7 linked regions of the Rattus norvegicus genome follow. The protein of the gene in region 6 interacts with the protein of the main gene of each other region in a pairwise test. Links are inferred from orthologs where the notes say so. Each region holds a gene or a part of one and is shown on either strand. Other genes may lie near its edges.

Region 1 (3,681 bases), on a different chromosome or scaffold from region 6:
CAGGCTAAGGGGTCTTATCTAACCTGAACATAAACTCTATGCTTACAAAGGCTCCAACTGTCACAGTCAGGGGAAACCTGTGGTTCCTGATCATACCTCAGCTGCATGAATAGATCAAACCTAAAAGAGGGTGAGTTTCAGTCTCCTGGTAAGCACAGAAAATGTTCTCATCCAGCAAGCAAAAGTCAATGGTCTTCCAGCAGGAAAAAAAAAATGAGGAAGGGCTGGAGAGATGGCTCAGCGGTTAAGAGCACCTGACTGCTCTTCCAGAGGTCATGAGTTCAATTCCCAGCAACCACATGGTGGCTCACAACCATCTGTAAAGAGATCCGATGCCCTCTTCTGGTGTATCTGAAGACAGCTACAGTGTACTTATATATAATAAATAAATAAATCTTAAAAAAAAAATGAGGAAAGGATAGGAAAAGGCGGAAGGAGTAGAGAAGAAGGGAGGAAGGGAAAAGATGAACAAAGAAAAAGAATGTTCAGCAAACTGAATTCAAATTCCTGAACTTGCCATTTCAAACCAGACTCCCTCGTGGCCTAGGGCGGGGGCGGAGCTTCCTCAGGGAGGAACTCCAGTTTCCTGACCACCTAGAGCAGACCAAGCTAAGCAACGCAATTAGCAAGATGATCTCCTGGATCTTGCAGGCATATCGAAGTGACTCTATCTAAGCTTAACATCAGTTTCCCTCTGTAAAATGGATGCGGCAGCAGCCACCTCAGAGAATCAAAACACAAAGTAGATGGGACTGCCAACCCCAAATCCTTAGAACTCACAGAGTTGAAGTGTTCTCCTTCAGGCGTGAGTCTTTGAGGGGTAGTATAAAGGGCAATAAAATAAGAAAAATGAAGGCACGGATGAAGGAATAAATAGGGAAAGAAGCGTTCATAGGAGGTAGAAGCTTTATTATGATGTCTCCAGGCAACAATCAAATCAGTAGCCTGTTTTGAACACTACTGTGCACACCTCCTGCCCATAGCATGGTCTAAGGTCCCACCCCTGACTTTTGTATTCCCTGGGAGGAAAATCAACTTTAGAGGACAGGTCTAAGAACAGAGTGAGGTTTCTGAACATCAAAGTGCAGTTAGCTTAAGGGAGAACCAAACTCCTAGTCCGGTCCTGCCTGTTTCTACTATGGAGGACAGGGTGAGAGCAGCAGAGCTGTTCGCGAGCAGCTCGGTGGGCTCTCAGCAGCCACCAGAACAGCAGCCTGAGCTCTGATTGTTGCAGGAGCGTTGAGACCTTTGGCTTCCTCCGCAGCAGCAGCAGCCGCCAGTGCGCTGACGGCGGCGTCTCCTGGGAAAGCAGCAGCAGCCGGTGGAACTGGAGCCACAGCAGCCAGAGTCACCACCACAACCGCCCCCGCAGCCTCTGCAGCATCCGCCATCACAACAAGATGAGGAGGACGTAGGGGCCGGAGTCGGGGCGGAGCAAGGGGCGGAGCTCTGGGAAGACCCTTTGGAAAAGCCTTTGGCGCCCTGCTGAGACATCTCGGCGTTTGTCAAGACGAATCTGAAAGAAAGACAACCTTTTTTAAAAATCCCGCCTTTTCTTCCTGTCGTGGAACACAGAGCTTTGGGCGTTTGGCTTACAGAAAAGTCTGTCTGACTTGGGGCAAGAGGGCTATGAGAAAGAAAGAAAAAACAGGGAGGGAGAGGGGAAAAGAAACAAACTCAAACAGGTGCTTCCAGTGGCAGAGGCACAAAGCAGGAAACAATATAAAAAGGATCGATGCAGTTTCCCTGACTGACATAAGGACCATCCAAGGTCTCTATGGTGGAAAGTAAAGAGCATACGACTACGATTTATCTGCATGACTCAATTAAAAATCTCTTGGCTTCAGCCCTTTCCCAACTGTATTTTGACCACACAGCCTTACAAGTGGTAATTTCAGTTGTATTGTATAAGCATCACCTCGGTCAGAAAACACAAAGACTATTTTTGTCCCTCTGTCTTGGGTACAGAGAATCCAAAAACACAAAAGCATATTCTGCACACCCTTTCTTGCCTGTCCTCCACATTATAAGGGAAAGGCATCTGTCATAGCAGAGAACGGGAATAACTTAACCAAGGTACCTAAGACCTGGTTACTCAAGCTCTTCTCAGACTGGAAAACCTTTCAAAGGTCAGGGCCATGCCAGGCCTTTGCATCTTCATATGCAACACAAAAGGCTGGCTCACTAGAAACCGGGTTCCAAGCCCATCTTCCCAACAGCTACATTCTGGTGGCTTCCTCCCTCCTCCTTTCTGTCTTCCATTCTTCCCAGCCTCCTCTCCGAGACCCTGCTTAGATACTTACTAGACTTTGGCTCCACAGGAAGATCCACTCAGTTCTCCAACTGGAACTTGACACCTGCTAGGCAGAAGACTGAACAATGTATGGCCAGAGAAGCTTTTATAAGATTCCAGCAAGTCCAGGTACTTGGGAGGAGCCCATTTCTCAACAGACATGCTCAGCTGACACTTGCATCCCAGAGGCATTCATCACTCAGATAGCACTGTAGGTGGTGCACGTGGACAACCAAGTCACTTCACAGAGGTGCCAGGATTGCTGTGGTGTGTTTACTTTTCAAACCGGACACTGTTCATAGCTGGGAGGGCTGTATGTGAGCTCAGAAAAGGCCTGGAAGGTCAAATGAGGAGAGGTCTGAGGTTCTCTCTTAAACACTGTACACACAAATACACAGGCACAAACAGCTGGGGCAAAGGGAGAACACCTGTACTGTTCCACTTTCTCACACACTTATTCAAGTACAGCTATCTCCTTATCATTTATTGTCTTATTTGCATCTCTATAGCCCTTGATTCTTGTCTTTGCATAGCAGGCTGCAGGCTATGTGATGAACCCTCTGGGTTTGGTCCAGATGCTTGTAGAGACTGAAGACAATGGTTGGGATGGGAATCCCAACAGTGGTTTCTTCCTATCACCATTGACAGGAGGAATAATGCAGACAAGGTTAAGAGACCAATAACACCAAAAACACCAAAAGAAGTCACTTTATCATATTTCCATAATGTAATCCTAATGGATCTCAGACAAAAATGGGTGAGATGTCCGTGCCTATTGGAAAATAGGAAGCTGGCTAGCCTCGGAGCTCCTGTTTCTGATACCACCTTCCTTAAGGATAGATTGACCCTAGGACTACTGACAAATAGGAAAAAGACAAAACAGCACAAAATGAAAAGGATAAAATAAAAGAGCAAAGAAGAGGGGAAAATAAAAGGGAAAATGCCTCGAAAGTTCCCACAGTAACTGTTGCGTTTTAACTAGCTGATTTATAAAACTGGAGGAAACTTTGGAGGTCAACTGCCTCTGAACTGCCTTTCAATCATCAGAACTACCTGGTCATACCAACCATGAGTATGAGACATAAGAGAATCTAAGACTAAGAATTCAGGGATTAAGAGTGAGATAGGTTTTGGGGTGCATTGCTGGGTGTGGCATGAGGAAACAGACAAGGAAGTACAAGTCATAGAAGATACCCGTTTCATTTGCCATGGCTTTAGATCCTGATTTACAGGTTGCCTACTGTAGCAGAGCACCTGGCAAGAAGAGGTCAGATTTTCCAAGAAGAAAGATCAAAGTCAGAAAAGAGAAGGAAGTGATGAAGTAATAAGGTCGATGCGGGCTCTCCTCTAGAACATTATGCAAAAGGTAAAGAAAGGGGTTGGGGATT
Region 2 (3,401 bases), about 86 Mb from region 6:
GTTGGTGGCAGGAATCACTACTTATTCTGGATAACACAGAGCCAGCTAGGGGTTGCCTCGTGACAAAAGTGACATGCCCCAACATACAATGCTGTCCTAGAATTACTACTGAGAATGTCTACTTACTACTCCCTAGTGTCATAAGGGGTAGGGATGACAAGACTCACTCAGGACCCAACCAAAGCTGTCTGGTCCCCAAGATTATCTTCACTCAACTTCACCCTGCTTTCAGCCTAGAGATACTGTCACCCCTCTGCCTCTCTAACCTTCTGAGGTCTGCTCCATTCAGACATTTCCTGTGATGAGTCTGGCCCTGATCCTTGATACCCACCTGCTGCCTGGCTGCCCGTGACCTCTCCTTCCCTAAGGCCAGTCACTGGTGACCCAAGTCCCAGGGTCCCACACATCTCAGCTGGGAGGAAGTTATGGATCCAGCAGCAAGATAGCCTTGGGATATATGCCTGCCTCTACCACAAGGTCAGTGTCCTAGACAGCAGCTCCCCAAGCCTGGAGCACGTTTCTTGAGGTAGTAGGAGGGAGATGTTGGCATGTCCATGGCAGTTGGGCCTCCTCTCACTACTCTCCCAAGACAACACGGGTCTCAGCAGCACAGAGCTCCACTGCTGGCCTGTGATGGCCCAGGTACAAAGATGCCCCATAGCTAGTGTTTATATAACAACAACTTAAGCATTTTATTTATTCATTAAGCTTCTTAGTATCACAATGGAATGATGAGAAAACAAGGAACAAAAACCCGAGAGTCTTCGAGAATCTCTGACAAAGAGCAGAGACTTCAAGGCAATTGGAGGGGCAGGAGGCTCGACAGAAACAGTTCCAATGTGGAATTTCTCCTGGGCTGGCTGGGCCAGGAGAGGTGGAGAGGTGGAATGGTGAGAAGGTGGCACTGTCGTAAGTGGTCCTTGGCGATTCTGACTCAGGACTGACACACATGATCTGCATGAACCACTCTGTGGGGTCTCTGGTACTTCCCTGGCATCCAGCCACAGGGCCCTCTGCCTGCTCCAAATGCATGGAAACTCTACCAGTGCCAAATGGACTCCAACACCTGCTGTGCTGGTGGCAGCAGGAGAGGGCAGAGGCAGGCAACTTGCTCAAGGCATGCCCATCCAGAGAGTGGCCAAGGCTTGTCACAGACTTCCGTGGCACAGGTGCAGGTGGTGTAGGTGGCGGTGGCAGCAGGCACTCCTAGAGCTTCACGGTGCCAGGGGGCAGGCTGTCATTGCAGAGTCGGTAGTAACGTAGATCATTTACCAGTCTGTGCACATTCTGGGTAAACGAGGGTAGGTCCTGAAAGGCAGGGCAAAAACTGAAGCCTGGCTCTTTTTTTTTTTTTTTTTGGTTCTTTTTTTTTTCGGAGCTGGGGACCGAACCCAGGGCCTTGCGCTTCTTAGGTAAGCGCTCTACCACTGAGCTAAATCCCCAGCCCCTGAAGCCTGGCTCTTAAAGGTCCCCCATACCCTAACAGCCAAGGCTAACCATCCGCCAAACTCATGAGCTGCCCCCACGCTTGTGCGTTTGGCTCTATGCAAACACAATTCCAATTCCTAAGCAAGGCACTGGTTGGGTCAGATGCACATGCAAATTCTTTTTCAGGGCTCCACGGGCCAGCCCCTGCTGCAAGCAATTCAGAACTGCCCCACAGCTTGCAACTCAGGATCTTGCAAGTTAGACAGGAAGGGAGGGAAGAGCTCCAGCACCACCTGGCTGTCCTTCCCCTTCCCAGAGGCCAGCCTTTGATGGCGCACACCTGAGTCCTTCCTCATGAGTTCCACAAGTCCCTACAAATTACATGACATCTGAGCCTAGCCACAGAGCTGCCCTGCTGGGAGTGGCAATCAGGAAATTGCTCCACTGTTTCCCATACTGCTTAGTGTGAGACAACAGAGCGCCGGCGGATGTGAACAGTACACACACACTGTCACAAACATAACTGACAGCCTGCCCTTGCTACCAAGGTGATCCCTGTGCAAAACTCAGCCACATCAAACAGTTGATACTGCTCCTGCCTCTCCCACCTTCTTCCTCCTTTGGAACTCAGCTCAAACCTGTCCCCATCACCAGATACTGCCTGCCTTGCCTTAGCTGGTCTGGTCAGCACCTGTGTTGAACTTTCAAAGTGCCCTCAGATCAATCATGTTGCATGCTCTCCTGCGACATCAGCTGGGAGCCTGTCCCACTACCAGGTGCCCTTCTGAGCCAAGACCATCTGCAAAAAGGAGTAAAGAGCTGCTCTTTAGAAGGAGGTTGGAAGAGCACGAAGTACCAGGAACAGCATGGCCCAAAAATACACCACACAGCCTGTCTCCCACAAAAGCATGCATGGAAGCAGTTGAATGGCAGCAAGGTGAACCAATACACAACCTCATGGAAAGTGATTCAGTTCAGCCTGAAGAATAGCACAGGGCCTGGTAGTGTTCACCTTTAACCCCAGCACTTGGGAGGCAGAGGCAGAAGGATCTCTATGAATTTGAGACCAACCTGGTCTATACGATAAGTTTCAGGCCAAAGTAAGACCCTGTGTATCGAGGAGGAGGGCAGAAAATAGGTGGATAGTGCTCAAATATGAGAGGCAGAGGGAGAAAGATCACAAACCAAGTTCAGCAAAAGCTACAAAGCGACCTCATCTCAGAATAATCAAACCAAACCAAGCCAAAAACTGACCAAGCAGCACGTTTTCAGTCAGCAGCTCCCAAACACCAAACCAGAACTCCCTCGGTGGAGCCAAGCACGCCTCTCCATTTTCAATATGCATCCTAGGAGTGACCAGATTTAGAACCCAATGTATTAACCAAGAAGTTGACCAATACTGATGCCACTGCAAAACAACTATTAGATATTAGGAGTTGGTCTCGAGGAAACCAAGGAAAAACAATTCAAGTGGCTGAAAAGAGAGAACAAGACAGACCCCCAAAGAAAAGACAATTCTAAGACACAAGAACACATGCCAAATGAGGGGGAGAGAGACCAGAGGTGCTCAGAACAGTACTCCAGCATGGAAGTGAAGAGCACCAATAGAAACCAGGAGCAAGCAGTCTCAACTCCCAAGGGGACAAGAGGGGCAGTGCTTATCCAAAAAGCTTCCAAAAGAACTTGTTCAAAAGAAGGCCTAACGCACACAGAGCAGGAAGGAAGAGCTATGGCCACACAACACAGAAAGAGGGCAGACACACAGCTTGACAGCATGGGGCAGTGGTGCCTTGAGTGACTTCACCCTGGGGGATCAGTGGCACAGAGGGTCAGTGTTATGAGGCCCCTTTAATGAATTTGAGCTGTGCCAGTGCTGCACTGTGAAGAGCTACAGGAAAGCCCAGGGCAGCCAAGCAACATATCTTGAGGACCCAAAGTTGTATCAATCTTTCAGCCTGCCTGAAAGCACAGAG
Region 3 (4,586 bases), on a different chromosome or scaffold from region 6:
GCTGGTGGGAAAGGAAAGAAGCAGAATATAAAATAATGAAAAGCTAAAAGAGAAATAAAAATAACTACCCTCATCAGGTATAGTGTTGGTATCTGTTACTCTAACACCCAGAAGCATAGGCAGGAGGAACTCAAGTTCATCGACCTGATGGACTTCATCAAGTTCACTGGCTCCCAAGGACAGCCTGGGCCATATAAGACTCTTGTTTGAAAGAAACAAAAACAAAGAACATAATTTTTGACCAAAAACAAACTAAAAACTTTTAAAACAAAACAATACAATCCTCAAAACTAATTTTGGTACTGTCTCTGACCACTTGTGTAATTCATGGCTCCCTACCTAATAAAGAAATTTACTACTGTCCTTAAGATGTTTTGGGTTTTTTACTCCCTTATAGTCAGTTAGCATCATATAGCTTGCTAGGCCACTGGATCATGAACACCAAAGGACTTAAGGCAGTTACTTCCAATATATATTGAAAATACAATTGTTTCTCCATTTCCTTATATAGAATAAGGTCGATTAGGTTTTAATTTGTATTCATTATAAAAGTCTGTCAGTCTGGAAGACAACAGGACATAATATCAGGCAGTGGAGTGGAATAAAGATTTTTCTTCACTGTCACTCATTCCTTAAGTGCTGGGATTAAAGGCACCACCATGCCTGGCCAAAACTTTAAGTACCAATAGACTGTAATCCAAAAAAACTTTTTGAAATAATTTATAATAAGTGTTGTGTCACATACAATACAATCTAACAATCAACTACTGAGTTCAAAGATAGTAAAGAATGTATCTCAAGACCTCAAGTTTACTAGTGAAAACGACCATTTACCTCAGTTAGGATACACACAAGCAGAACCACACAGTGGGGAAGTCAGGGCTGCACTAACAGCAGGGAAAGGTACCTACAACCAAGCTTGACAGTGTGATCCTGGGTCTGGACTCCTCAAAGGTGTCCTCTCACCCTCATTAGTGTACCTTGGCATGTGACTACACAATACACACACTAAATAAATAAAGGTAATAAAACTATTTTTAGATTATAATGTGGAACAGAAATCTCATTCTCTTCTTTTAACTTGTATGCATTTTTGAAGTATTTATTATAGATCAACTCTAGCACCTAATACAAGATAAGCAAACATAGTACTTCTAAGCTATAGCACATCTCCAAATGTATGATTAAGTTTTTGTTTGTTTTTCTCAGACAGGGTTCCTTTGTGAACCCTTGGCTGTCCTGGAACTAGCTCTGTAGACCAGGCTGCCCTTGAACTCACAGAGACCCTCTGCCTCCCTAGGGCTGTGTTAAAAGTCGTGTCCTACCACCACCAGGCTTATAATTACAGTTTTTAATCAGGCTTTTTAAAAAGATTTTGGGTGTAGGTTCTGATGCTTGTGATCCAACACTTGTTGGCAGAAGCAGAACTGTAAGGTCAAGGTAAGACCATTACTACCAATATCAAAAGTAAAAGAATTTGTGATGTAACTAGATCAAAAGTGTCACTTCAGGGCCAGTGAAATGACTCAGTGGGGAAAGGCACTTGCTACCAACCCTGAGACACGGAGCTTAATCCTTCCATCCAGCATGGTGAAGGCAAGACTGCTTCCGGTTACCTCCGGGCCTACATATGCATGCTCCCATCGCATACGCAAACATATTCACACAAAAAAAGTTTTCAATGTAGGAGGATCACAAGCTTTAGGCCAGCTTAGGTGACATAGTGAGTTCCTGGCTAGTGAGGTTATTGAGTGAGAGAGCCTATCTCAACCCCTACCCCTAAATGCTTCTGAAATACTGTATGAATTCAAAGTATTCTCAATTCAACAATGTCCACATCCTAATGGTCCATTACAGCTGGTAGTGGTTACAGTACTGGACACATGTGACCATCTACATCAATTCTGAGTACTTCTGCCTCTTGCTCCAAACAACTTCAATAGAAACAGGCCACTCCTTCCTGGTCCCCTTTGAGAGAAGGAATTCCTATAAGGATAGGAATGTGTCTTTAGTTTGGCAAAGTTGAATGGAGGTATGGCTACAACTTAGCTTGGCCTCACTCTAAGCCCGAGTTCACTGAGTACTTTATTGCTATAGGAAAAACATTAACAAACAAAGATGCAGAGTTTTCTATAGATTACTACAGAATTAGTCTTGTCGTGATTTATATTATGTTTATATATTTACATTATAAGCTCCAAGTTAAATAGTCCTAGTTATCTCACAGACCTTAAGACCTACCCCCAACTTTAACTTTCATTAAAGCCAGGTTAATATGACTGAAACGGGTAAAGAGTTTATCTTTCAAACATACTGTATGGAGAGAGTAAACATGCCACAACACAAAGTTTCTTTCTTGTTTACAACAGTTACGTACTCTTGACCATCATTAAATCCGGAACAATACAGATCCACCTCAGGAATTCTCCACACGTACCTGGATTTGAGAGAACCTTCTATGCCAACCAAAAGGGGCTCTAACAAAACGACGTTGTTTGTGACTCCTGGAAGACAAACCGGTTTTGAAAAAGAAATACCTCCCACCAGATTCATCGGGCCATAAAAGTTAACCAAGTGGGGGCTGTGCCAAAGGCGCTGGCTTAGCTCAGGCTAGGTTCTGTGTTTGAAGCCCAACTCTGGAAAACAAAACCAGGCCTCACTCCCCGCTCGGGTACTAAGCCACATCCCCCATCTGGCTCTGGTCTGCCTTCCTCAGATGCAACCCTCGCCTCACTCACTGGAAAAGGCCAGGGCGCCGAGGAACTTCGATAGGTCCCAGGCGAGGTGCACAGTGTCGCCGAGCACCGCGTAGCAACTCGCGCAATGAAACACCGCACATCTCTCCGGCTTCAACCACGCAGGCAGCCGCAGGTCGACAGGTGACGCCTTCACCTCAGACCCGGAAGACCCGAGAGGGGAGAACCCTTCCACCACCTGAGTGTCCCACTCCATGGAGGAAGAAAAAGGTGTATCACAAGAGCCACTACAGGACTGGGTCTCGACGACAGGGAGACCGCGCGGCGAAAGAGTCGCCATTTTTCGAAACCCGCGCCTGTTTCACGCACGTCCCAGGTCCCGCCCAACTGTTTTGCTGTGCCTTCATTGGACAATATTCCTGTAAGACACGCCCACAATACCCAGTGTCTGCCTATTAGGTTTGCGGAGTAGCTGTCTTCAGCCAGTCACGCTACTGGCCCTCATAGGAAACCCCACCCTCGAGGCAGTTCAACCAATGGGCGTACAGCATTCGTCATTTAAACTGAGTATAAAAGTCTGCTTGTCAACGTCTTGGGTGGCGCCAGTTTTGAACGGTGCTGTTTTGAGTCGTGTGGCTGTTTTTCTGGGTATCACCGTGATTGCAGAACGTGATGACCGTCCCCTCTGCAGAGGAGCTGGACTCCTTCAAGTACAGCGACCTGCAAAATTTAGCCAAAAGACTGGGCCTCCGGGCTAACCTGAGGGTACGGTGCTGACTGGCGGGGCGGGCGGTTGCGGGCGGCTTAGAAGAGGCTCGGGGTTTGGGGAACAGGGCACGAAGTGACTGAGAGGGAGTCCCCGAGGAACGCTGTTTTGGGCGAGTAGGCAGGTTTTGTTCACAGTGACTGGAATTTGTTAAATGAAAGAAAAGCCATGTCTGTTACTTTATTTGGAGGCTTTTCTCAAGAACTCATAAAGGCCTCTTAATGGAAATCCTGGTACCAGATGGGAAACGAAGGCTCATAGGATGTGATCAATGTAATTTTAATTTCTATTCCAGTTATTAGGCAGTTAAAGAAAAACTACTTCAAACTACTACTTACTGTTCAGTAAACCGTGCCAGTACCTTCACTCTCATGAGCTTATAATATGCTTGTCCACCAAGATCTACTATGATCATCGATACAGTAATCACTATTGTGATGGTGGTCTTTTTCAAAACCGAAAAGGTCTTTGAATCCCGAGTTTGCAAGGTACTCAGAGAAAATGTGGTGATTCATTGTGAAATTAGGCTTGCTATATTGGAGCTGAGATTTCCCACATGTATATGCCAGAGATTTGTACAGCAAACTGATATTTTCACTAAATGTCTAATCAGTTGTCACAAGTGTTTTTAAATACTTTAAACAGAATAATGAGGCCATAGATAATACGTTTTATCTGGCTGAATGGCAGTGAAGAGCACTTGGAAGTGTTTCTGAGTTTAGTACTTAATGGCTCCCCAACTTAGTGAATAAAGCTTAGTCTTTCAGGTTTTTACTATCTGGATAGATTCTCCTCCTCCTCCTCCCTTCCCTTCTTCCTTCTCCTCCTCCTCCTTTTTTTTTTTTTCTTTTCTTTTTTTTCGGAGCTGGGGACCGAACCCAGGGCCTTGCGTTTGCAAGCTAGGCAAGCGCTCTACCACTGAGCTAAATCCCCAACCCCCTCCTCCTCCTTTTTATGAAACAAAGTCTCATTGTACTGCCCAGGCTATCCTGGAAAATAGTGTATAGTTTAGAGTAGCCTGAAACTCCCCTTCCTCCTCTGGCCTGACTAATTGTTTATCAACTACACCTGTTGCCTCTAAGCTCATTTGCATCTGAGGTGATCACCACCATCATACCTGAGCA
Region 4 (3,981 bases), on a different chromosome or scaffold from region 6:
CGACAGCAGCCCCTTGATTACTTTTCTTTCTTTGCTTGTATTTATTTTAGATTTTATTTTTATATTTATCTTATACTTTAGATTTATGTTTTTATTGTTTTTGCATATGGGTGTTTTGCTTGCATGTATGTATGTGTATCACATGTATGCCTTGTGCTCATGGAAGTCAGCATTAGATTCCATGGAACTGGAGTTCCAGAGAGTTGTAAACTGCCATGTGGGTGCTGAGATGGGAACCCAGGTTTGCCTAGAAGAGCAGCCAGTGCTCTTAAGTGCTGGCCATCTCTCCAGCTCCCCTTATCTGTTGTAAACGTCACTCAAATACTAGAGATTTATTAATGGGAACATTCCAGATCTCTTTTTCCTGCTCAACCTAGTTCCACCGACATTAAAGGATCATCATCTGTTCTGATCTTATCCACTAGTCTCTGAGAATACAGAGAAAACAATTATATAACTTCTGAACTAGATAGAGCTCTGCAGGGAGCATACTGTATATCATAACTGTTTGCATGAAGTCTAGGTCATAATCACAATGGGGTGAATGTGACAGAATTTAAATTCTCTTCCTTGTCTAGATCCGTGGCTGTTGTTTTGTCTCTAGATTTGGTTATGCTTTTTGGTTTTCTATGGATGACTTTATTCATTCACCAGATATACATTTTTTAAATATCTGCTGTACGTTAGGCACTTGCACTGGCTTCTGGGCAGTTGTTTAGTTTTGTAGACCATGTTGAACTTGAACTCACAAAGTTGAGTACAGGGAGGCACTTTAGGCAAGCACCATCACACCCAGATACAGTTCTTACACGAAAAGGATGCTAGGAAGTGTTTTGGTTACAAAACATTTGTGCATGTGTATTTTTTATAACTACCTATTTCCTTTCCTCACTAATCTGTTTTCTTCCAAGTGGTCCCTGTCCTTAGCTGGTACTGTTCTTTGCTTTAAAGGTCCGCACTGGGCACACTGTACCCTGACTCTTTCCACCCACTCCTGCCTTTCATCCTCACTTTCACCGCCATTCCAAACACAGAAATAGACAGTAACAGGGTCAGCAAATACAAGCCAGCCCTCAGCACAGTGACTTGACTCAGCGTTAGTGATCTTTTTCTCCATTAAAGCAGTATCTTAATAACTGTCGTAGTAGAACCAAGTTATTAAAGGTAAGCCATGCATATTCTAATTTGTTTTCATAAAGTTTGCCAGAAAAGGGCCCAGAAAGATGGCAGGTAAAGGCTCCTACTACCAAAACCGATGACTTGAGTTTGATCCCTGGAACCCAAATTGGAGGAGAGAACAGAGTTTGGCAAGTTCAGCAAATTGTCTCTGACCTCAGCACATAAATAAATACATGTAGTAAAACTTGGCTTCAGAGTTTTAGATCAACATCTGAATGGACTCACAGGGTACTGATGTCTTTACATCAGCAATTAGTAGTTTGGCCCTGGGTGGTTTAAAGTTACTAAGCTATTTATTTTATAACTATTGTACTTGTTTGGAGAGCGATGTGAAAAAGTATATCCAGGGAAGTAGTTTTGCCCTTTATCTATTTTTCAGTATGCATTGCCTTTCTAGGTGTATAGGTTGTGATTGCTAAGCTAAAGTTTAATTAATTCACTTAGGCAAACATTATGGGCACAGCTGGTGGACTATGTACATGAGGACATGAACGGTTTGGAAGCCAGTCTGCGTTAGCATTTTAGATCCCTGCAGTGTGTTGCATTGTTCACTCTGCTCAGAGTACCACATCAAAGCATGGCCAAACACTATGTGGTTATCCCGCTTATTTCAATTTATCATGTTGGGGCAAATAATTCTCAGCATTTACTGTTTCCCTGAAAACATAAAAAGAATTCTGAGAACTGTTTCCTCATCATCTTTTTGGACACAAAGTATTTTTTTCCCCTTAGGTCAGAGTAAAACTATAAGTGTGTGTGTGTGTGTGTGTGTGTGTGTGTGTGTGTGTGTGTTTGTGTGTGTGTGTGTTTACCTAAAGCCAAAGCCAATGTCAAATGTCTAAAGTCAGTGCAACTGTTTATCGGAGTCCTAAGAAAGACTTAGCTATCCAAAGTTATCAGGGGGTGAGAGAAAGCATGATTTTCTGGGTATAGCCCTCTATAAAATTATAATAATTATTTTCTTGCCTTAAATAGGGGCCTGGGAATTTAAGCAATCTTTGCAGAATCTTAAATTGCTCTTAGGACAACATTATGGCATAGAAGAACCATTTCTTTTCTAAGATTCTTATGATCAAAGCTATACTCGTCAAGCCAGTTCTTTACAACATCTACAAAAGACACATTAAAGAATTTTTATTAAGCCATTTTTATTAAGCCAGGCAGAGTGGTTAAGAGACAGAGGCAGCCCCATATCTATGAGATTGAGGCTAGCCTGGTGTATATAACGAGTTCCAAGCCAGCCAAGGCTACATGGAGAGACCCTGTTTCAAAAACAAAACAAAAAACCCAAACCCCAAAATGTCATTATTCCTTTGAAATTCGATTATTTACTATCTAAAAATCAATCATCCCCTTTAGAATAGTTTGTTGTAAAGTCATACATAACAAATATCTAGGCATTTCTGCTTATAATCAAACTATAGATGTATACAGCAAATGTATTGAGGACAGTTGAAGGACTGAGTGTAGAAACGACAGAGATTACAGTACCTCTTGAGAGTGTCTGAGGAGGTCTCTTTTCCTTCTTGATAGCAATGGCAAGGTTGGAAGAAACTGTGATCAGCAAAAGGCAGAGGGCCAGAGCCGAGTGTAGCATGTCTTCTAGAGAGTCACTCAGAGGCAGCTAAAAGATAATTTTCGGAAGCTGGTCATTTTTCACAGCCGTTATCCAAAGGTATTTGGACAAACCAGAACCTGACAGTTTCATTTTTCAGTTTTATATTAGATAATCTCAGGGTGATCATTTAAAAACCATTTTAGTAAATATTAAGGTTGTGAAGGTTCTGGAAATCCTGACGCAGAGTGACAATGAGAGCAGGTGGAGGGTACCCAGCTGTTCCTGAGGTCACTGTGCTGTGCATAGCTCTACCGTGAAACTCAAACCCTGTCCTGTTGGTTATCATTTTCAAACTTTATGATGCAAAGCAAGATTGACTCTTAGCATCAAGATTCTTTGACTTTTCGTCTCTCAGGGCCTAACAGCTGGGACAACATCTTTAACTGTAGAGTAGCATGAGATTAGACATGAAAACAATTCTTCAGCTACAAATAAGAAGCAAAATAGACTACGGGCAAGCCTTGTTTTTCAGTGCTCTGTAGGCACATGGCTCCAACAGTCGCATAGCCTTCCACTTAAAACTCTTCTCTTTAAAAAGGCCAAGCATTATAGGCTACCGAGATGACACATAGGGACAGCAGAGTAGAAAGCAGTGCACATATATCCTCCGTGCTTGTTCAAAAATTCTTAAAACATTTTTGACTGCAGATTTGTATCATTTGACAGTGAATTCCACCATCGTAATGAAATTTCCTAGCCCAAATGCAATCAACAATTGCTTACTGATTCTGCTGGACTGTGGCTATATTTAACTCCATTAAGAATTGTGGAAAATGGAAAGATTCACAAGACACAATAATTTGGTCCTAAGAAAACAACAGGTGACTGTGAGTGTTGATGCAAAATAGCATCTGAGATCTCGTAGGGCAACAGCTCAGTGGAGGTTTATAGGCCCTGGTTTCTCTAGATACTTCTTTATTTGTCTTGTTCCACTATGTTCTCAGTGATGTCTCTCCTGTCTCATTTCTGAATCAATGATATTTGCCATTCCTGGTTAGTCTTATTGATTACTTCCATCGATAATTGCCAGCAGAACCACTTATTGTCTTCTTTGTATGCAGGGTCTAAAAACATGTTAAACAGTAACCATGTCTGATAACACTATCAGTTTCAGTTCTTATAGCTCATTAAGTCATAAAACATTTCAGAATGTCATTCTCGGACCTGGACAATGAAAAGAAAGC
Region 5 (4,059 bases), on a different chromosome or scaffold from region 6:
TCTGTCCTTTGTGTTTCTTGGGGCTGTTTTCCCTGGTGGGGCTGAACTGATGCCCCGTGGAATCCACAGGGAACACAAGGCCTTATATTTGTATTCTCCAGGCCTTTAGGGAAAAGATTGCCTCTCTCAGCTCTAGAGGCAAGAAGCAACCTGTAGCAGTCCATCAAGTCTGCCCATTGGTTAGACAACATAATGGCTCCTGGCATACAGGGAAAAGATCTGTAGTTAGCCTCGATCAAGGTGAGCTTTTAATACTCCACGAGATAAGAAATGACGCAAGGAAGGCTTTAAAACAGCCTTTGGGCTGCGGGCTTCTCCTTTATAAACAGTAGGCAAAGTAGGGGGCCTGGATTGGCACCGTGGCAACTCCCCTTACCCAGGCTTCCCTCCCTACCTTTCAGTTATCTGTGTTCAGTTTCAGTCCAAAATCAAATGGAAAATTCTGGAAAGAAACGATTCGCATATTTCATGTGTCTGAGTAGTGTGGTGAGACCTTGTACCATCACATAAGGGTCACAAATCATCCTTGCCCAGAGCGTCCATGTTTTATACACTACCCACCCGTTAGCCACTGACGTAGTGGCCTCACCCCGAGTCATGGTGCTTATGTTATTGGCCTGCTGTACCTCATCACATGCTTGTTCTATCACTTCAAAAGGGTGGCAGTAGTATAATAAAACATTGAGGGATATAGTATTTTTGTTGTACTTATAAATCTGGAGGGGTATTAAGAACTAATTACAGGTAAATTTTGTTTTAACAACACTGTTTAACTGTAAAGTATATGTATTCACCAGCAATGCTAAAAGATGATGATGGTGATAAGGCACATTGAAAAGCTAAGTCACCTTTTAATCCTATTTAAAAAGAACCTATTTTACATATAAAAAAAGCAGAAAATTCTGAAGAGTGCCCTCGAAGTTTTCATTACCAATAATTTCTGAGAAACGTGAAGCTGGCTATGTCTTTTCCCTATGCAGGGGCATCACCCAAATACAAGACCATTCTTCCAGACCAGAACCCACAGTTCAACAAAACAGTCCACCATAAATGCAAACGTGCGACCCTTCTAAACAAACAAAAACCCTACAATTTAAGATTCCTATTTGCTTCATATGGCCCAAAATACATAGAATGTACAGGTTATACACCGTACTTTGTGGACTGCAGAGTACACACTAAGAAAAAAATAAGCGTGGTAAAAATATATGCCCTAAGTGGGTAATCTGAGGATTTCAAATGCTACTATAAAAGTGGGTGGTGTAACCCATTACAAAATTTCCAACTGTTCTAAATCTCTGAGTGTACGCAGCCCCAGGGACACGGACAGCCACGACCTGGGTCCCAGGCTAGGAGCACAGCCCATGCTGCGTCAACCGCCCTTCGTGCAAGCGTTTCTAGTCTCCACGAAGGATACTTTCTGGATTGTAGTTATTCCCTGTGCTCCAGTTCAGTTGTAGTAGCTCTTACTTTAAACTTGTTTTTGATTTGGTGCTCAGCATGGTCTTTGAAGTTCTCTGTTCCTTGAGGCACGGGTTGTGACGACGGTGATGGCGTTCGCGTTCTGCCTGCAGCCGCTGCCGCCCTCTGGTCAAGGCTTCTAGGTACCACCGCTGCTCTTTCATCAGCCTCCGGTGCTTTTCCAGCTGATTCCTCACAGCTTCCACCCTGCGGTACTCCTGGCTCAGTTGCTGAAGCTCCTTGCGTAGCTGCTGGTTCTCCCTGTGGAGGCTGCCACAGAACTCAGAATGAGCCTGCTTGGCTGCTAGAGCCAAGGCCTTGTACTTCCTCGTAAGCCCCGTGGTGTTGATCTGCCCCAGCTCCATCAGGTGCAGGTCTTCCAGCTCCTTCTCCATCAATGCCTTTTCCTGCAGGAACCGGAAGTGTGCCTTCTGGTCCTTGGCCGCAGTCTCACCTCGGACTTTCTCTTGCTCCTGCTCCAAGCTCTGTATTTTCATGTCCTGGCCCTCCTTTACTTTGTAAATTGGCTTCAGGGCCTGCAACTGCTGCTTCAAATCCTTCTGGGTCTTTCTGCCCTGCAGGAGCTGGGCTTGAAGAGCTGCATTTCTCTGGTTGTATCTGGACGCCAATTCTTGCCTCTCTCGTTCTATCTCGCCACATTCTTGGATGTACTGCTTCCACAGCTCCTCCTGTTTCTTTTCACACTGTTCCTTATTTTTACGCAAGTATTCCGTGAAAAGCTGGTTTTCGGCCTGCACGCGGTATTTTTCTTCTAGTAGCTGCCTGCTGTCCGTCAGCAGCCTTTCCCGCCGGCATTTAGTTTCTTGGATTTGCTGGCTCAGCTCCTTCAGCTCCACCACTGTCTTCCTCTTTACCCGTTTCTCCAACCTCGTTAGCAATTTTGGCTTGAGATACGTATTTAGAATAGTAAGGTATGGTGTTGGTGGGGGTGCACCTTTAGGGCTCTGGGCAAGCATGTTCCCAGAATCCCCAGGTCAAGGAAAGTGACTGCCAGGGAGCAAGGCGGTTTGTTACTTCAGGGTACAGCGTCCTGAGCCAATGTTCCCAAGGTTTCTCCCTCTGGTGGTCAAGGCGACCAAGCTACACCCAGCCTGCCAGGAAGTCGCAGAGCTCACTTAGAGTAGCCTCAGAGGCTGTCCAGGGCTGGCCTTGATCTCCGAGTTTTCACTAGGAGCCCAGAGCTCCTGTTCCAAGCTGGCGAGCCCTGTCCTGGGGAGCCCTCTGGTCTTGCTCTCCTGGGACCTGTGCTTTGCCTCCTCATACCCTGTCCACAGGTCAGCGTGCCCTTCTGTTCTCTGCACACTAGCAGACGTATAGCCAGACTCATCTCTGCAGTGCTGGGGGTATGGGTCTGCAGGATAAATGGCGAGACCTAGGGCTGGGGAGGGTTGTTTGCAGATCCTTGAGTTCCCTGTGTGTTGTTGAGAAAGGCAGCATTGTGGGACTTTGTACATGAGCCGTAGGGAGCACAGAAGAGACTGTGACAGGCAGAAGGCCAGGAAGAAAGGGAGGAGGTTTCTGAAGACTGGAGTGCCCTTAACTCTAATTCCTTCACGGCACCTTGGTCTAGTAGGCTCCCCCAAGTGCATCCTTGGGGCACTTTGGGTACTACTGACCGTGGAGTGGCACCCCTGATAGTGAGTTGAAGGCAAAATTGCTGGGTTCTTGAAATCTGGAGCCTATAAGTAACTGGAAATGCCTGCATCTTATGTCTAGGATAAAGAGTTGTGTGACTTTGGGCAACTTGTTTAACTGAGGTGCGTATCTCCCTTGACACTTGGGATTTTGACCTGTCAGCTTCACAATGCTACCATACATTACTTCATCTGATCTTTCCAAAAATGTTAGGTGGAGAGTACATGCATTATTTCCCCCACTTTAGCTATGAAAGAAACCCCACAAAACACAGATACTAATCCCCAAAGACCACATCCTAGGGTAAAGAAAGAATAAGAATCAAAGCTTCTTGGGTTAGGGTAGGTAAGTTTCAATCTACTCTATTTCTCTCAAAATAGTTACTGAGGAAGTCCTGCCCCATTTTTATTACTTGAAAGGCTTTTAATTTTTTTTACAAGACTTTAAGTTAGACATTATTGTCATGATATGTAAAGCAACTTGTCCAAGGTCCTACAGACTTACTAGAAAGTTTACCTGTCTTCTCATGCAACAAATGGGCAGACACCCATTTTGTGGGTCAGCTGGGGTATACTGCTGAGTACACCTAGAACTTCTGAGATTGTTTTCACCCTTCCTTATCTCATGCCTAACTCTTCATTGTGTTGTGGCTGTGTGTGTGTGTGTGTGTGTGTGTGTGTGTGGTGTGTAGTGTGTGTGTGCAGTATGAGTGTGTGTGCAGTATAAGTGTGCAGTATGTGTGCTGTATGTGTAGTATGTATGTATGCAGTATGTGTGCAATGTGTGTGCAGTATGTGTGTTCAGTGTGTATACAGTATGTATGCAGTGTATGTATGTGCAATATGTATGTGTATAGTGTATGTGCAGTGTGTGCATGCAATATGTGTGCAGTATGTGTGTGTTCAGTGTATATACAGTACATATGTGTGCAGTGTGTGTGCA
Region 6 (4,445 bases):
CTCCCTAGCTCAGGTCCCTCCGCACTGGAAAAGAGTTCCAAGCAGCTCCACCCTTGCTTCTGGCTCCCCAAAGAATTTGTTTGTTTTTTGAGAGTAAAGAAACTAGGCTGCCATTTGAGACTGGGTAAGGGTTATAGACAAAGAATAACACACATGTTGGACACATAGCATGGGCTGGGTACTGGCCAAAGCTCAGGGTGGCAGGCCTCCAAGGATGACCACCAAGCACAACTGAAATTAAGATGGGTTTAGGGGTGGGGGAAGCATCTGGGTGGGACCCCAGGACAGAAAAAGGTTGTGCAGCCTTGGCTGTGACGGAAGCACCACAGGGAAGAGACTATGAGCTGGTACCCACTCTGCACTGTCTTTGAAACCTATCTCATTCCAAAAGTTTACTTTAAAATACTAAATTCAAGGAAAGGAGGACCATAGGCATTGCAACATGGCATACTGTTTCAAAAATAAAAAAGGGCACCTGTGGGGCCCAGGGATGCAGCTCAGGTGGTAGAATGCCTGTCTAGCATGCAATGCATGAAGCCATGGGTCCATTCCACTTCTGTATTAGTGGCAGCCTTTATGCATCAGTATCTAGTCTAAACAGACTCCACACAGAATTAATGCAGCCCATAGCTGGTAAGCTAGGGCTGGAGTCTGAACACATCACATCTCATGGTTACCTGTACTGGCAGCAGATACGAGTGCCCACTCCAGGCTGGAGAGATGTCTCAGCGCTTAAGAACACTGACCCGGGTTGGGGATTTGGCTCAGTGGTAAAGCACTTGCCTAGCAAGCGCAAGGCCCTGGGTTTGGTCCCCAGCTCCGAAAAAAAGAAAAAAGGGGTGGTGGTGGTGGTTGGGGATTTAGCCCAGTGGTAGAGTGCTTGCCTAGCAAGCGTAAGGCCCTGGGTTCGGTCCCCAGCTCTGGGAAAAAAAAAAAAAAAAAAAAAAAACACTGACCCATCCAAAGGTCCTGAGTTCAATTCCCAGCAACCACATGGTGGCTCACAACCATCTGTAATGGGATCTGATACCCTCTTCTGGTGTGTCTGAAGACAGCTACAGTGTACTCATACATAAATCTTTTAAGAGAGCCCACTCCAAGAGTAAAATTGCCAAGGACTTCCTGCTTGTAACTTTCAAAATCAGTTTTCCTCACCTGCTCCAATCTTTTTTCTTTTACAGTACCAGGAATAGAAACCAGGTCCTGGAAAGCAGCACTCTAGCCAATACTCTGCCACCAATCCCCCACCCCCAGCCCAGTATAATTGTTTTTTTAAATCAGGGTCTTTGTAAGTTCCCTAGAAGGCTAAGAACTCACTTTCTAGTCCAGGCAAGCCATGAACTTTTTTTTTTTAAATCACACTCCTAGTCAGCATTCAGACCTGTCACCACACGTGGTGATGGTGAAGGCCAGAGGACAACCGTCTGTCTATAGAGTTGCTTTTGGGTTCTGGGGATGGAACTCAAGAGGGTTGGGTTTAGAGATTACCACCTGAACTATCTCAAAGCAGCTCAGGCCCTGACCTTGACTTCCAATACTCCCGCCTTGGCCTCTTAAGTAGGTAAGATACCAGGCCTGGCCTTTGAGCTTTTTCTTTTTAAAAACACACTGAGGCCAGCCAGTATGACCTTGAATTCATGATTCCTTCTGCTTCCATCTTCCAAATGCTGGGAATATAGACAACTACCAAGCACCGTCCATGTGGTGCTGGGTGCTAAGGTTCTTGTGTGCAACAGGCAAGCACTCTTGAGTTCCATCTCCACCCATTCAGTCTCTCAGCTGCTACAAATATGATAGGCTGACTGGCTTCCACATGGAATGACGGCTATACTCGAACACGGGGCGGAAAACCGCCCCATCATCCTGGGGGACAGACAGGATCAAGAAACAATTTATCTAGTGGGGTCAGCAAGAGAGCAAGGACTGCAAGGAAGTCAGAGCAAGGGGCAAAACCTAAGAGGGTGGCATGATGAGCACAGCATGTAGCAAGTAGGGATGGCTGGAAACAGAAACCTTGGAGGTGGGACACACAGAATGATCATATGGATATGTTGGCTGGCTAAGAATCGGGGGTAGGGAGATAAAAAGGGGTGAAATCAGGCCCCCTCCCAGGGGTGGGGGCTTAATCTAAAAGAAAATAAAACGATTTTAGTAGTAGATGAAATGACTCAGTGGAGAAAGGCTGCCAAACAATCTGACCTGAGTTCCATCCCTGGGACCCTACTATATAGTAGGAGAACCAACTCCTGCTAGCTCTTCTTTGACCACCACATACATACACAATAAACGTTAAAACAAACAAGAAGGTTTAAGAGTCCTGATTAGGACTCCGTGGCCTACTTTCCATAGCTGGTATATTTGTGCGTATATCTATAAACAGCGACATCTCGCTGTTGCTCCCTTGAACTCGTCTATGAAGCCTAAGCTAGCTTGAACTCGCCATTCCGCGATGAGCTTAACCCACGAGGTCTCTCGGAGCGACATCGGTTTTAGGGACTGGTGGCAAATTTGTGAAGCAGGGATAGATAACGGGATGAGCTGGTTACGGGTGTAAGAGAGATCGAATAGGATCCAACCGATACAGGAAACAGAGTCCGGGCCCCCAGCCTGAAGCAGTGAGTGAAGGGTCAGGGCGACATGGCGGGCCCGGGGTCGCCACCGCCCCGTCGGGGCCCCGCGAGGGCGGAGCGCGGAGGGATCCAGGCATCCCGCGCTGCGCCGCCCCCGGTATATTTGTTCCCAGGCCCCGGGGCCGCCTCATTTTCAACCCTCTCAGCAGTCTCCCTTAACGCTCCTGCCACGCCGCCTCCGCCCGTGCAATGGCTCTGTAGCCGCGATCTCGTCGTGTCCCCCGCCCCGTTTCCGCGCTCACCGCGACTTCACTCTCTGCTCACACCGACTCTTCAACTGAGGCCGCCGCCGCCGTTGCCTCCTCTCCTTTTCGCAGCCATGGAGTGAGTAACCGCTCGCCCCTCCCTCTCCAACCGCCTTTCCCGCCCTTTCACAGAGCTCGCGGGGCTTCACGGGTCAGCCTCGTGGGGAGGGGGTGGGGAAGACGATATGAGGAACCACGGTCGCGCAGGCGCAGAAGAGGGAAGTCGGTGGCCGGCGCATCCGCTGAGCAAGCGCACTAGGCTCCAGGCGTGGGGGAGGGTGTGCTTCCGCAGAGTCTGGGGGCTTTTAAGGTCGGTTCGCGCGCCATTGCGCCTGCGCACTAATTCACAGACCCTCTTCCTCCTTTCCCCTCAGAGGATACGAACCCACACTCTATTGCGCATGCGCATTACCTTATTCCCGGCCTGAACTACGGAGGGCGGCCGGTAATTGGCTAAACACACGCACTGGTCCCCCCAGGAGGGTAGTGGCGTAACAATGAATCCGGTCCAGGGTCTGAGCTTTCGTCTTGCGGCTTAGCGAGCAATCAGCGAGGAAGGGTGGAGTTCCTCGAGGCTCTGACACTGGTCCAACTTCCCTCCAATCAGGCACCTGCTGGGGCGGGGACTGGCTTAGATTGACAGGGAAGGCTAAAGAACACCTTTAAGAAAGACTTGGAGCTAGAACCAAGGGGCGGGGCCTCTAGGGACTTGCTAGTTGGGGGCGGGAACTGACTTGACAGACAGGAGTGTGGGCGGGGCTTCCCGTAGAATCTGTAGAAGTCACCTAAAACTTTTAAGGGAAGAGTGGGATTTGTGTGTGTAACACTGATGAAGGGCCCAAGGCATGGCAGAATTATTCTGGGAACCCCTGTGAACTCTAAAGGGCGTATAGTCTAAAGAAAATATTGATGCGGAAGGGGCACGGCTAGAAGAAAATAAAATTACCTTGGGATTGAATTTTTTTACGAAGAGCAATAAGATGAGGTAGGTAGGAGGGGCTGGAAGTAATTCCCCTGGGAGAACACTAGGTTTCTGTGTTGAGGGAGGAGATGGGGCTGGGGAGTTTCCAAAAGTTGCCTTGGGAATGTATGGAGCTCTGGAATTTGCAGAAAGAAGAAAAGTGTGGGTAGCTTGTGGGTCAAGCAGCTTTGACTCAACCCCACCCACGCCACCTTGTCTTCCTCACAGGCCCTCCACCTTCGCCTTGGTGCCTGTCTTCACCCAGCTGAACAATCTTCCACGCTGCCTCCCAGTTGTTGGTGCAGCCTCCATTGCCATCGCAGCCCTGCACCTGTGCCTCAGCCATGTCACTCCTGGCGACCCTGGGACTGGAGCTGGACAGGGCCCTGCTCCCAGCTAGCGGGCTGGGCTGGCTCGTAGACTATGGGAAACTCCCCCTGGCCCCTGCCCCCCTGGGCCCCTATGAGGTCCTTGGGGGTGCCCTGGAGGGCGGGCTTCCAGGGGGGGGAGAGCCCCTGGCAGGTAAGAAACAGGTGAAAAAGAGAGGTGGGTTAAGGTGGCGGGGTGTGGAAGGACAGAAAAGGAAGGATTTATTCATTCACAAGATCA
Region 7 (4,555 bases), on a different chromosome or scaffold from region 6:
GGTCTGGAGAGATGGCTCAGTCGTTAAGAGCACTGGCTGCTCTTCCAGAGGTCCTGAGTTCAATTCCCAGCAACCACATGGTGGCTCACAAACATCTGTAATGGGGTCCGATGCCCTCTTCTGGTGTCTGACAGCTATAGTATACTCATATACAATAAATAAATAAACATTTAAAAAATAAATAAATAAAAGAGGAGAACAGGAATGAGCTAAGTTTAGAAGAAAGAGCAGTGGTCATTGGAGGTTAAGGACGGGAGAGAAAGCTAGGACAGAGAAGACTGGACAAGAGTCACCAAAATATAGTTTTATAAAGGGGGATAAATTCAAATGTTGTACCATAGAAGGGAGACTACACAACAATTTCCTATACATTTTATAAAGAGCCAGAAAGGAGGTGTTCAGTATAGAGAAATGACATATTTACAGGTACACAAGTGACAATTACTCTGGTTTGATCATTATGCATTGTATACACACATACTGAATTGCCACACTGTAATCCATCGATGGACACAATTAACATATCAGTAAAAAGTTCATGCCCAGCTTGGTGGAACAAGCTTATGGGCTTATCAGCCAGGAGGCTAAGATGGGAGGTCCGTTTGAGCCCTGGAGTTCAAGACCAGGCCTTCTGACATAGCAAGCCTTTATCTCAAAAAGTAATTAAAGCACACAAGCAAAAGCTAGATTAGGTTAATGGTAACAAGCGATAGAGAGGAAAAGTAAACATTGGAGGGAACTGAAGAGATGGAGGTGGGTGGAAATTTCAGACAGTATAGTCAACAAGGCCTTTCCTAAGGAAGTAATATCTGGGCAGAAAACTGAAGTATGCAGTGGGCAAGCCCTACGGATGTCTCGAGAAGGTGTACTCTAGCCTCAGGGGAGATCTAGTTTGACAGGATAGACCAGGTTTGCTCAAGAATAGTTGATGCGGTCAGTATAACCAGTGTGCAGAAGGTAGAGAAGACGAAGAAGATCACAGGTCAGATGAGTCGGTCAGAGAGCTAGGGGCCGGAACCTCTCTACAAAATCCTTTGTAATGGTTTTGTTTGGCCATAAGAGGAGGAGGAGACCACTGAGAGTCTTAGCAAAGAGTGCTATAAACTGACATTTCACCTAACAGGACCAACCCTGAGAGCTGTGTTGAGGATGCAGAGGTGATGATCAGTCAGCCCAGAGTGAGGTTAAGACGGTAGTGAGAAGTGATGAGTTTTGACAGTGGAATCAGTAGAATTTGCTGGGGTGGGATGCGAGAGAGGGAAGGCAAGGAGAAAGCTGAAGAACAAAACCGCCATTCACAGGTCGTGGGTAGCTGAACACAACACAAATTTGCGGCAAGATCTCCGGAGTCCTGTTCTAATCACGAAATATCGACAGAGAAATAGCAAATAAATACTTGTCTGCAAATAAGTCAAACAGAGAGACATAGATTGGGAAACCAACAACAGAGAAGACGATAAGTAAAGTCCTGAAACCGGAGCTAAGTGCCAAGGGGATGAAGTTGAGTCGGTGCAGAAAAGAACTCTAAGGCAAGGGCCTGAAAGCGCAACAACCTAACTCCTAACTCCGCCCACTAGGCTCCACCTCCAAAGGCGGGACCGTCTCCTAATAGCATTATCGGCTGCTGACTGTCAGTTTTGCATTTGAGCCTTTGAGAGACACAACCAGTAGTGTTTCTCTGACGGAAGAGATGCCCCGGTCAGGACAGGGGTCATTGAAAAGACTGGTTTACACTGAATTGAGAATAGGACCCCCGTTGAAGGAATCAGAGAAAGAACTGGAAGAGCTTGAAGGGGCTCGAGACCCCATATGTACAACCAAGCAACCAGAGCTTCCAGGGACTAAGCCACTACCTAAAGACTATACATGGACTGACCCTGGACTCTGACCTCATAGGTAGCGATGAATATCCTAGTAAGAGCACGAGTGGAAGGGGAAGCCCTTGGTCCTGCTAAGACTGAACCCCCAGTGAACTAGATTGTTGGGGGGAGGACGGCAAGGGGGGAGGATGGGGAGGGGAACACCCATAAAGAAGGGGGAGGAGGGAGGGAGATGTTTGCCTGGAAACCGGGAAAGGGAATAACACTCGAAATGTATATAAGAAATACTCAAGTTAATAAAAAAAGAAAAGAAAAGACTGGTTTAAAGATTTTTAAAAAAATCCAGTTCAAGTAAATAAATAGTTAAGGTGGCAAGACTCAGCAAAACAAGAAAGTATAATTTATTTTTGATACAAAAAAATAACAAAAGCTACAGTTACCGGTGACAGATTTTTAACATAATGGGACAAAGTATACTATGTACAATATTATATCCTTTAAGTTTAGAACTCACATGAGACTTTTTTTTTTTTTTTGAGACCAAAAAGTAAAAACTACCAAAGTGGCCCAAAAAGTAAAATCACTAGAGAAAGTTGGTTTAAAATTATTTAAGCTAAATCTATATTTAAGACCAGATCTAAGGCCCCATCAGTTTCTCAGGCTGATACCGTCACAGCTTATGGCTTAGTTTATCCCACCTAAGAGACTCTGTTCAGGGTGAAGGCAGGGCAGGAATCCTCCTGACGTCTGGGGACCTAACTCTGTCTGTCTGGGGACCTAAACTGCCCCCAGGATTCTGCAATCATAAGGCCGAAATGGCCTGGTGTGAGCTTATCTCATTTATGAAAACAGAGTCTAAGTAAATGACGAACAAAGCAAACCGACAATGAATCCAGTGCGAGCCTGCGGGCTGGAGAGGGGGCTCAGAAAGGAATCGAATTTGCTGCCCGAGCACTGAGGACCTGAATTTAAACCCTCAGCATCCGTGGCAAGCACTGTCCGAGGCTTACATACCTGTAACCCAGCACTGTGAGGGACGGAGATAGGACAAATCCCTGGGGCTTTCTGCTGCCATCATAGCTCCAGATTCAGCAAGGGACCCTGTCTCAAGGGAATAAGATGAAGAGTGAGAGGGGAAGACACCTGACATTTCCCTCTGGCCTCTGCATGTACACTGGTAAGCAAGCACGCACGCACGCACGCACATGCACACACGCACATGCGTCAGCTCCTTCCGCCTCACGCAAGAAAACAAAAGTCAGAGTCATGTAGAGATGCGTCATAGAGGGCAAACATTGTTCCACATTAGAAAACTCATCAATATAATTTACTCTGTTCCATTAGAGGGTAAACCTTCCGTGGTCTCTTTAAAATATTTAGTAAGACTAGATAGGCATGCAGTATTGATTAAAAGCAGAACCTGAAGTGGAAAACTTAAGGGTTCTTTGGAAAGTCGGTTGGATGGTGTTTTGCTGGGGCAAACACATGAAGGAACGTTGAGCTGCACTCTCAGGACTCATCAGACTCGCCTGGATGCACGTGCTGAGGCAATGCACTTGGAAGACGCATGATCTTCCAAGAGGGTATAAATAGGACTCCACAGAGTGATGGAGACAGAGCTCGCTCGGCTTGCTGGTACAGCTAGCTGCGAAACGTTTATGGGCCTCGCATCTTCGCTGATCTTCGCTTCTCTGAGAGAGGCACAGCTGAGAACTTCTGGTGTTCCTGTGGGTCTCTTCTGCTGACTCTGAGGTCGAGGCCTCGCTGTCTCTCCTCGGTCAAGTCACCACTGTTGCTGACCCAACTCTGTCGCACTGGACTGCTGGTGTATCTGTGAACTTAACTGATGATTTCCAGACAATACAGACGGGAATTGCTCCAAAGAAACTTAGTAAACAGGTCCACTGCCCCCGCCCCACCCCAATCCTTTCTTTTCCACTTACCTCCGGTGGGTGGCGGGCTACAAGGGAGGTTAAAGTGTTTAAGAACTTGGTTAAAAATAAGGTTTGAAAAAAAAATTAAAAGTTACGAAAATCTAACAAAATGGGATTAGAAATTTGCTTGACTTGTTAGCAGATGTCTGCCAGAAACCTGGCACAGAAAGGGCTGGTGGAGTGTTAGAAGCTTTTCCACCCAAAAGGAAGGACAAGGCAAAGATGCTGGCTACTATTGCCAGCTACAAGTTAACCAATCGGTTACAAGATACGGGATTTAGTTATAAGAATTGGAAACAGAATTGCCATTGTTTGTGGCTTGTACAACCTCATTCTCAAGCATTTAATGAAATCCCAGGGAAAGGTCCTAAAAGTATCAAGGTTGACTTTTGCTTGCCTTTATTCAAACAATAACTAATCGTACAACGTAACCAGCAAATCATAAAATACCTTTCTAATATTTCAGTTATTCATAGGCACTACAAAGAGAAGCAAATTAAGCCTTACTGTGAGACTAAAAGGAAGACCTGAACAGATCAAAAACATACAATGCTCAGCTAGAGGCTGGACACACCTCTTTAAAAACCGATTAGTTAAAAATAGGGTATGGGGGGCGCTGGAGGGATGGGTCAGTGGTTAGGAGTGTGGACCAATCTTCAGAGGACTGTCCCAGCGCTCGTGGTGGGCAGCTCACAACTACACGCAATTCCAGCTTCAGAGGTCAGAGGCCTCCTGCATCTTCAGGCATCTGCACTAACATGCACATACCCCACTCCCACACACCTACTGCCCTCGACCACA

Evidence for each region.
Region 1: the proteins of Nup62 (region 6) and Crct1 interact in binary tests that used the Homo sapiens proteins (3 or more experiments, as listed by UniProt). The two-hybrid records come from large-scale screens. The link is inferred for Rattus norvegicus from reciprocal best matches to the Homo sapiens genes NUP62 and CRCT1.
Region 2: the proteins of Nup62 (region 6) and Xpo6 interact in binary tests that used the Homo sapiens proteins (3 or more experiments, as listed by UniProt). The link is inferred for Rattus norvegicus from reciprocal best matches to the Homo sapiens genes NUP62 and XPO6.
Region 3: the proteins of Nup62 (region 6) and Oip5 interact in binary tests that used the Homo sapiens proteins (3 or more experiments, as listed by UniProt). The two-hybrid records come from large-scale screens. The link is inferred for Rattus norvegicus from reciprocal best matches to the Homo sapiens genes NUP62 and OIP5.
Region 4: the proteins of Nup62 (region 6) and Agr3 interact in binary tests that used the Homo sapiens proteins (3 or more experiments, as listed by UniProt). The two-hybrid records come from large-scale screens. The link is inferred for Rattus norvegicus from reciprocal best matches to the Homo sapiens genes NUP62 and AGR3.
Region 5: the proteins of Nup62 (region 6) and Ccdc121rt1 interact in binary tests that used the Homo sapiens proteins (3 or more experiments, as listed by UniProt). The two-hybrid records come from large-scale screens. The link is inferred for Rattus norvegicus from reciprocal best matches to the Homo sapiens genes NUP62 and CCDC121.
Region 7: the proteins of Nup62 (region 6) and Bfsp1 interact in binary tests that used the Homo sapiens proteins (3 or more experiments, as listed by UniProt). The two-hybrid records come from large-scale screens. The link is inferred for Rattus norvegicus from reciprocal best matches to the Homo sapiens genes NUP62 and BFSP1.

Annotation. Positions count from the first base shown.
Region 1 is NC_086020.1:181,328,504-181,332,184, forward strand, and holds Crct1 (cysteine-rich C-terminal protein 1), read right to left. Parts: upstream 2,375-3,681; 5' UTR 2,304-2,374; intron 1,517-2,303; 5' UTR 1,495-1,516; coding exon 1,192-1,494; 3' UTR 889-1,191; downstream 1-888.
Region 2 is NC_086019.1:190,102,052-190,105,452, forward strand, and holds the end of Xpo6 (exportin-6), read right to left. Parts: intron 1,309-3,401; coding exon 1,207-1,308; 3' UTR 668-1,206; downstream 1-667. UniProt on the Homo sapiens protein: Mediates the nuclear export of actin and profilin-actin complexes in somatic cells.
Region 3 is NC_086021.1:127,054,001-127,058,586, forward strand, and holds the start of Oip5 (protein Mis18-beta), read right to left. Parts: upstream 3,044-4,586; 5' UTR 3,037-3,043; coding exon 2,739-3,036; intron 2,505-2,738; coding exon 2,438-2,504; intron 2-2,437; coding exon 1-1. Other genes in the region: Nusap1 (nucleolar and spindle-associated protein 1), read left to right, coding at 3,369-3,461. UniProt on the Homo sapiens protein: Required for recruitment of CENPA to centromeres and normal chromosome segregation during mitosis.
Region 4 is NC_086024.1:58,373,552-58,377,532, reverse strand, and holds part of Agr3 (anterior gradient protein 3 precursor), read right to left. Parts: intron 2,804-3,981; 5' UTR 2,777-2,803; coding exon 2,671-2,776; intron 1-2,670. UniProt on the Homo sapiens protein: Required for calcium-mediated regulation of ciliary beat frequency and mucociliary clearance in the airway. Might be involved in the regulation of intracellular calcium in tracheal epithelial cells.
Region 5 is NC_086031.1:95,784,637-95,788,695, forward strand, and holds Ccdc121rt1 (coiled-coil domain containing 121, retrotransposed), read right to left. Parts: upstream 2,500-4,059; 5' UTR 2,439-2,499; coding exon 1,467-2,438; 3' UTR 832-1,466; downstream 1-831.
Region 6 is NC_086019.1:104,434,514-104,438,958, reverse strand, and holds the start of Nup62 (nuclear pore glycoprotein p62), read right to left. Parts: upstream 2,932-4,445; 5' UTR 2,873-2,931; exon of another isoform or gene 1,348-2,872; intron 1,211-1,347; exon of another isoform or gene 1-1,210. Other genes in the region: Atf5 (cyclic AMP-dependent transcription factor ATF-5), read left to right, coding at 4,181-4,358. UniProt on the Homo sapiens protein: Essential component of the nuclear pore complex. The N-terminal is probably involved in nucleocytoplasmic transport.
Region 7 is NC_086021.1:151,703,150-151,707,704, forward strand, and holds the start of Bfsp1 (filensin), read right to left. Parts: upstream 3,005-4,555; 5' UTR 2,835-3,004; intron 1-2,834. UniProt on the Homo sapiens protein: Required for the correct formation of lens intermediate filaments as part of a complex composed of BFSP1, BFSP2 and CRYAA. Involved in altering the calcium regulation of MIP water permeability.